Danio rerio: one gene and its partner. The protein of the gene in region 1 interacts with the protein of each later gene in a biochemical or structural test. Links are inferred from orthologs where the notes say so. Each region holds a gene or a part of one and is shown on either strand. Other genes may lie near its edges. The genes, in order: tdrd3 and top3b.

The links.
Region 2: the proteins of tdrd3 (region 1) and top3b form a complex in vitro, tested with the Homo sapiens proteins (2 studies listed by BioGRID and IntAct, with this or other methods). The link is inferred for Danio rerio from reciprocal best matches to the Homo sapiens genes TDRD3 and TOP3B.

The regions. Positions count from the first base shown.
Region 1 is NC_133186.1:45,112,098-45,116,513, reverse strand, and holds the start of tdrd3 (tudor domain-containing protein 3), read right to left. Parts: upstream 3,026-4,416; 5' UTR 2,873-3,025; coding exon 2,835-2,872; intron 829-2,834; coding exon 738-828; intron 536-737; coding exon 470-535; intron 1-469. UniProt on the Homo sapiens protein: Scaffolding protein that specifically recognizes and binds dimethylarginine-containing proteins. Plays a role in the regulation of translation of target mRNAs by binding Arg/Gly-rich motifs (GAR) in dimethylarginine-containing proteins.
Region 2 is NC_133180.1:13,914,174-13,918,001, reverse strand, and holds part of top3b (DNA topoisomerase 3-beta-1), read left to right. Parts: intron 1-234; coding exon 235-340; intron 341-1,899; coding exon 1,900-2,046; intron 2,047-2,206; coding exon 2,207-2,380; intron 2,381-3,828. UniProt on the Homo sapiens protein: Releases the supercoiling and torsional tension of DNA introduced during the DNA replication and transcription by transiently cleaving and rejoining one strand of the DNA duplex.

The DNA of each region.
Region 1 (4,416 bases):
TCCAAAACCATTGTTCAGCAGTGTTGGGAATAACGGCGCTATAAATAAAGAGCGTTACTAACCGAGATACTTTTTTCAGTAACGAGTAATCAAACAAGTTTATTTATATTTTATTTAATTTAACTTTAATTACTCTTTTAAAGGAACGTACCCAACACTGCTATTCAGATGTTGCATTTCAGACATTTGTCAGGTTTTTATCCTCAAACTGCTCCTGTGTGTTGCAAGTTTCTTCCACATCTCCTCCGAAGCCTTCCGATTTGATGTGATTTTTGACTGTTGTAGCTGTGAAATAACTCAAATCATTCAGTGTAGTGAAATAGAGCTATAAAGCACTCAAAACCTGCCGGAACTACTTTAGCTGTGCAATTATCTGAAAATAAATGCACACCTTAGATTGCTCATGAGCCAATCAGAATCAAGCATGCAGCAGCTCTTAGTTCAAGCTATGTTTCATCCACAAATGTACCTTTTCTATTCGTCCGCTGTTGATGTCAGCTGGGAGAAAGCTCTTACCGATGGGTCTCAGATCATTCTGTGGATTACATAATAGTATTATTTATTGTCAATTATATAATTGTATTATCTGTTTATTGAGGTGTGACTGATTCTATGGTGAGCCGAAACTCAAATATACATCATCCCAGATGGACAAAGACATGTTATGTAAGAAACTTATTGATATACATTGACATTGTCAAAATAAAAAGGATAAAAGTGTTTCTTAAAGCGCTTACGTTTAGTGCTACTTGTATGATGTCAGTGGGTGATGTTTTCTCCTTCTCTGAAGAACTTTTACACTCCTCGATTCCTTCATCTGTAAGGTACCTGTGAAAAAAAAAAAGTGTTTGATTTTAACCAGGATTTTTCGACATATTTGATGCCCTAAATATGAAGGATCCATGCTTAAATTGAATTTATAAACATTTTTGCACAAACAGCATGTAATGTAATGTATTTTTTATTTAATGCCATGTCAGCAACCAAGGCTATCTTCATGGCAGGAATCTTTCAACAATAAATAAACAATTTAAAAATCAACAAACAAAATAAAACATAAATTAAATAAGATTTTTAGTGTTAATACATGATAAAAATTCTAAAATCTTTTCTGGTTTCACTTTGTCAAAAATGTCCTTAAAAGAGTTCATTTCATAAAAATCTCTTCTGGAATCAGTAAAAGCAGGACAGCCCAGTACAATATGTTTAATAGTAAGAGGAGTTTTGCAGCACAAACACTGAGTATGGTTTTCACCTTGGGGCAAAAAACCATGTGTTATTCTCGTATGCCCAATACAACATCTGGTAAAAACTACTTGATCAAATCGATTCTTAAAATGTCTTAAAATTCTGTGTGAAACTTCAGGTTGGATTTCATATAATTTGATTGTTTTCTAATGCATCCCATTCCTTTTGCCACTTGTTTAAAATGTAAGCGTTGATAAAAGGTTTCATCTCTAACGGAGGAATTTGGCATTTGTTCACTACTTGCTTCAAAGCATCTTTAGCAGCTGCATCAGCTCGCTCACTGCCTAAAAGTCAAACATGTCCTGGATATATATAAAATAATTATGTTTTTATTCTAATGAGACGTTTATAAAATGCAAAAAACTACTGCATTATTCATTCAGATTAAGTCTATTTATTAATTTATTTATATCAAGTAAATTAAGAAATTACCCATGACAACTTTAATGTAATAAAGACTCAGTCAAAATTTACATTTTGCTGCTTGTTTAACCTGAGCTCAAACAACACAATTCTTTAGATTTTTTGGGCAACTATTTGTGTTTGGACAACCTAAATGAATTTCGTGGATCCCTGCACTTTTTTACAGTACATTTAGTATATTTACCTTTAACCCACAGTTAAATTCATTTTTTGGCTCTTCATAACAAAAAGTTTGGGCACCCCTGATTTTGGATATTACTTTAATATCGTAAGGTTATATAGTAGTATTTTAATCAATCACATGGTTCTATTAATCAGTTTACTAGAACTATGTTCAGTTGCTTTGACACGATCCAAATTTAAAAAGCGCTTCATAAATATTAATTGAAACTTGAACTGAACATGAATAAACATGAATTGAATTGTATAAAACCAAATTAGCCTAGCTTTATTCAGTATTCAGATGTATGTTTAAAAACTAATAATTGCTCAATTTGCTTATTCAAACACCTTAAAACACAAAATAATTGTCTTAGTATTATCTTACTATTAATCAGCAGGTCAAATATTTGACTTTTAAGCACTTATTTCAGTATTATGTAAACTCCATTGCATCAAATTGTCATTCTGTTAGCATTGGCCTGCACCTTAGTACTTTAAGACTAAATATAGACGATAAAGTTTGACATCTAAATGAAATTAAAGCAAACTCTGAACAAATAAATAAACATGAAACCTTAAACTCCTTTAATGATGTGAGATTTGGAGAAAGTTTAACGGAGCTCGTCAAAGTTCAGTCCAGTCAGATTTAAACAGTATCAACAATAAACTTCAGCAGCAGATTAATAAACGATACTATAGGCCACCTCTAATATATAACACATACTGATTCAGAATTACTTCCAAAAGACTAACGTTAGCAGTAAATTAATCTTGATTATCGTGCTAATGATTTAGCCGCCAACAACAGTAACGTAAACAAACCCAACGCCAAAGAAACACTGTGATAAACTGCTGACTTTTTATAATCTGCACACTGTTAAATAAACACTTTCAAACGCATGGCATGAGCACATCCCGCTGCGTGAGTAAAGGCATGTAAACATGAGTTAGCATCATTAGCATGCTAAAGAGTTAGCCGATGGCACAGAGTATAGACTCACCAGCCCTCTTTAATAAGCGCCGAGCTTAAATCGCACATCTTCACACACGCTGCAGAGTTTGTACGCAATCGCTGTCTAAAATCTCACTAAGACACCATTGTGTGTTACTCGGGATTCATTTCTGCATCGTTAGCTGAAGCTGCAGCTGGACAAAGACAGATGACGTCACGCGCAAACTTCTGACGCTTCTCGGGTCAAAGTGGTCGGGGGGGACAAGATGGCGGGCTGAACGCATGCGTTTTCACCGAGCAGCCTAGCGAAACTTCTAGTTTATCTTTAGAATTCAACAAATTTTCATCTTCACCTACCTAAAACAACATTTAAACACCACAGGGGTGTTTAACATCGTCAAAATGCCGAAATCTTCACAGCAGACTACCCACCCAAAGATATACATCACTTCAGTGAAGGACGCGGCCTCAGATCCAGAAATGGAGGTACAGACGGCTAAAACAGACAAACGGCGTGATGCATCCCATTTCACCCCGACCAAAGACAACGATAAAAAAAAGCTAAAACCTCATGATGATGACATCACTAACGCAACTCTCTTGCAAGCCATAACATCACTGACAGCTCGTTTTGACGTACAAAATGAACAGTTAGAAGACATGGCAAATCAGATGCGAAAGAACAGTATCATGGTGGCAGAGATTTCTAAGGCGGTTGAATTCAATGCCGCTGAAATTAAAGATTGCAAAGAAAAATGTGCAGAAGCGAGCAAATCACTCCTATATCTAACAACATCACACAAAGACCTGGCGAGCAGAACGTCAGAGCTAGAGCGATACAAAAGGAGATGGAATCTCCGGATCAACGGGATGAAAGAGAAGCCCGAGGAGGATGCTCGTAAAGAAACGATTGCCATGATCGCTGAAATTGCTCCGCATTTGATTCATAAATTAGAAGACATTGTTGACACAGTGCACCGAGTTGGCAAGAAGGAGTTAGGTAAACCCAGGCAAGTGATTGTGCAGTTCACAATGCGTAAATACAGGGACGAAATTTGGAGGTCTACTAAAAATTCATCTGTGTGCCGCGACCACGGAGTTCGTTTCACGGAGGATATGACGAGGGAGGACCGGCTGGCCCGCGCTGCGCTGTGGCCTTTGATCGATCAGGCGCGAAAAGCAGGAAAGATAGCCTACTACCGTGGACCGTTCGGGTATATTGAAGGGAAGCGCATTGACGCCGCATGACTGTGTAGTTGTCCTTTTATGGTAGGACAGTTTGAAATATGACTGTTAAGAAACGCTAGGCTGGGAGGTATGCTCTGTTGTGGTTATAACTGTTTGGGGTTTATACCACCCGTTCTGAGATTTCCTCTTTTGTGAACAAATTTCTGTTATTTTATTTCATCTTTTGCTATTTTTGTTATGTTTCCAGTTAAGTTCAAAATTTCTCTCATGTCACTTAACGTCAGGGGCATCCAAGATAAAGTCAAACGTAAAGCAATGTTCTTATTTTGTAAAAGTAATGGTTCTCAATGCATTTTTTTACAAGAGACACACTCAACTGTTTCAGACTCTTCGTTTTGGTCTAGTCAATGGGGAGATAAAGTTTTACTTAGCCATGGTTCCTC
Region 2 (3,828 bases), on another chromosome or scaffold:
TTATCTGTTTGTTTTTTAAGTATAGTTTATTTATTGTTTTATATGACATTTTTTATTACATTATATCTTTTATAATATTGTTTACATGTTTATTATATTATATTATATAATATTTTGTTTAGTTTTTTTATTCTATTCTGTTTGATCTATTATTTAGTGTTTAATCCTTTAATGTCATTTTTGTGACGTGATTAATCTTCTGAAAATTGTTTCTGTGTGTGTTTTTGTTCGCAGGTAAAAGCACTGCTCTCTGAGGGAATAAACAGGCCTAGGAAAGGAGCAGATGCTGGAGACCACCCGCCAATCACTCCAATGAGAGCCGCTTCTGAGAGTGAACTGGGTGCGACTGTCAGACTTCCTCATTTCATATTTACACTTCTGTTATTGAAAGGTTGAGAAATATTAAGGAGCACACCAAGGTCAATATGATTTAATATACAGTAGTCAACTTTTGAAGTGAATCAAATTGTCCTTGTACAAGAACGGGTGTTGTTTAATATTTTAGTACAGCTTTGATGAAAGATGATCATCCACTTCAAATGTTGACTGCTGTACATTTCAGGACAACGTTCATGATTCAGTTTTGAAATACTGAATGAAAGGGGGAGAAATATAGACTTAATTTTATATTTATTCATCTGTTTTTAATCTAGTGAAACTTGTAACATACAGTCTGTACGTCAAGGTTAAAAAACTGGGGTCAGCATTTATTAATACAATTACTACTTTTTTTTTAAACTCCAACATTTAATGCAGTTTATTCAGCTATTTAAATTACCACAATAAACTAATTAAAAGTGCCATTTATAACTTTGCAAAATACTAAATGCTGTTCTTTTTTGAAGATCCCTAGAAATTATAGTTTTCCACTACAATATCAAACGGCTTGAGTAGCGGATGCTAACAAATAGCCACAGCCATATCATACTGCAGCCCAAGACCGGTTACTCACTGAAGCTAAGCAAAGCTGAGCCTGGTCATTACCTGGATGGGAGACAAAACAGAGAAATAAACAGTAATTTAATGCCCTGCTACATATGTTGTTCATAATTTCATATACACATTACCACAATTTGTTTATATAAACATTATAAATGAGGAGAACTTCTCCTGAATCCCCGGTTCTGAATGCAGACACTATTTATACCAACTATTAACCCTGCCGGTAATCTGTATGATTTTTAACATAGGTGAACACAGCAGCACAGATAGCGATGTGTCTGAATGGTAACGAACACAACTGATATAAGTCAAAGTTCGCCATTCTCCTTTTCTCGTACTGCTCTCCCGACAAAAATGCTTGCTGCAAACCAACAGCTTTACTGTATCGGCCCTGTCAGCATCTCGGGGAAAAACATGCAACAAACCCTGTGAATCATGGAAGCAAACACATACGTCCTGTTCTGTGCATTAACACATTCTCACCCAGACATTGGGTCTCACAGCTTGGCAGGTCTGCCTTGCCTTCGAAAAGCACATGCTCTCATGAATAATTAACAAGCTGGGTCTTCTCATTGGATAAGAAAGCTCTGCTATAAATAATAAGGAGAAATCGACATGTCATCACTTCACTTGCAGTTTTGCACTACGTCACCATTTTGACCCCGCCCCAAAAATGATTTTAAACCTGGAAGAAGAAATTATCTGACAAAAGCTCCAAATTATACAGTTTTCATCATAATTAAAGCTAACAGGTGCCAACATCGTCTTAACTGATGCTCAACACACACAAAACTGTTAAAATCTCAAAAAAGTACTGCAGGCTGTCCTGAACCTTTAAAGCTGCTTTTGACAACGTGTCTAGCAGGAGAATCAAACCTTTTCTGATCTGAACTCCATTATAATAAGATCTATAAAACAACAGAGCTGTAAAACACATCTGTCTTTATGTCTGTGCAGGCAGTGATGGCTGGCGTCTGTATGATTACATCACACGGCACTTCATAGCGACGGTGAGCCCCGACTGCAAATACCTGCAGACCACCATTTCCTTCAGCATCGCCACAGAGGGCTTCACATGCAGCGGGAAGACGCTCATCTCTGCTGGTCTGTGCATTTTTTTTTTGTCTTTCCTTATTTTAAAAACATATTCCAGTGGAGACCCTGTGCAGGCTTCCCACACTTATTGAAAGAACCACTTGGGTGTGAGTAAATAATAAGGAAATGTTCATTTTTGCTTGAACTATACCTTTATTATTTCTCTCAGGTTACACGGAGGTGATGCCCTGGCAGGGTATTGCGCAGGAGGAGGCCTTGCCGGTGTGTGAGCGAGGAGACATGTTTACTGTGGACGAGATTAAACTGCTGGAGAAACAGACCAATCCCCCGGATTACCTGACTGAAGCCGAACTCATCACACTCATGGAGAAACACGGCATCGGTATGACCATTCATGCGCACATCTGAAACCGATCGTCTTGGCAACAAGTTCACAAGAAGAGAACTAATTTAGACATGTGAAGCCGCACATTTATCCAATATGCACTTCTGATATTAGTATTTCACATCATCTTGGTCTGTTTATGCCAAACGAACATCATAGTTGTTTCTTAAACACTGCAAATTTAATTACAGTATCACAGTATTCGCATCACAGTTATTTGACTCATTCCAGAATTGAGGGTACAAGGATTTTTCCATTCATTGTCACCTATACTTGAATGATTTACAACTAGGGATGTAACAATATTGTTAATACCGTCATACCGCAATAGTAATTTTTTTCAATATTACCGTAGGTGCATGACTCAATATAACTATAGTTCTGAGATAAGTTTGCTTAGGCAAAAGAAGCGAACGGGAGGTAGCGGAAACTACAATTCCCATCAGCCTAGGCGTGGCCATCATCCTTTGCGGTCTGTTGTCACTACAGATCCAGTAATGCGGAAATGGAGTGTGCTGCTAGTAGCGGGGAAGAAAAAGAGCTGGAAATGATCGAACCTAAAGCCGGTTTTAAATCGGATGTGTGGAAGCATTTCGGTTTCTTTATAAAAAGATATGAAAAAGGGGAAAAGGTGACAGACAAAGAAAAAAACAGTATGCAGGCACTGCCAGACTTTGGTGAAATATAAGTCGGGGAATATGACTAAAAACAGTCATGGGGACTGCAGAACACAGCACACTTGTTAGATTGATGCAGACATTGACTTGTACCGCAAAGAGACCTCTATCTCAATCATGGCTTGTCCTCTAAAGTGGTTGGAAAGACAATGCACAATATTACCCACTGCTGTCAACCTTGGCTAAATCATATTTCTCTGTCCCAGAAACCTTAGTCCCAAATGAGAGGGGTTTTTTTCTGTTGCTGGGGACATGCCCAGAGATCCCAGCTTTTACCAGATTATAGTTATATGATCATTTTCCTTAAAAAACCCATCTCTATCTAAGTGAGTGAGTGATTAAATGTTGAATGTGATGAGTTTTCAACAATACTAAATTGAAACTTTATTTTTTTTTTATATGTTTAATAGTTTTTTGTTATTAAAATTGAAAAATTGAAGTTCCTGTTTTGAAATTTACAGATGGATGGCTAATTTGTATGTCATTGATATGTTCAGTGCTAAGGTAAATAAGCACTTTTGGCACTTTTTTCGAGTCTTTTCATTAGTTTTGTTTTTCCTGTAAATTATTCAATAAATACCGTACCGTGCCATTCATACCGAGGTTTTATCGTACCGTGAAATTCTGATACCGTTACATCCCTATTTACAACTAATGAATGATTTACAGTAATCTGAATCTGATAGAAATGTAAAGAAATGCAAAATGCTTATATGGGATGGGGAACGTTTGATTCTGGGACTATTTGTTGTATAACGTCTTGTTAAA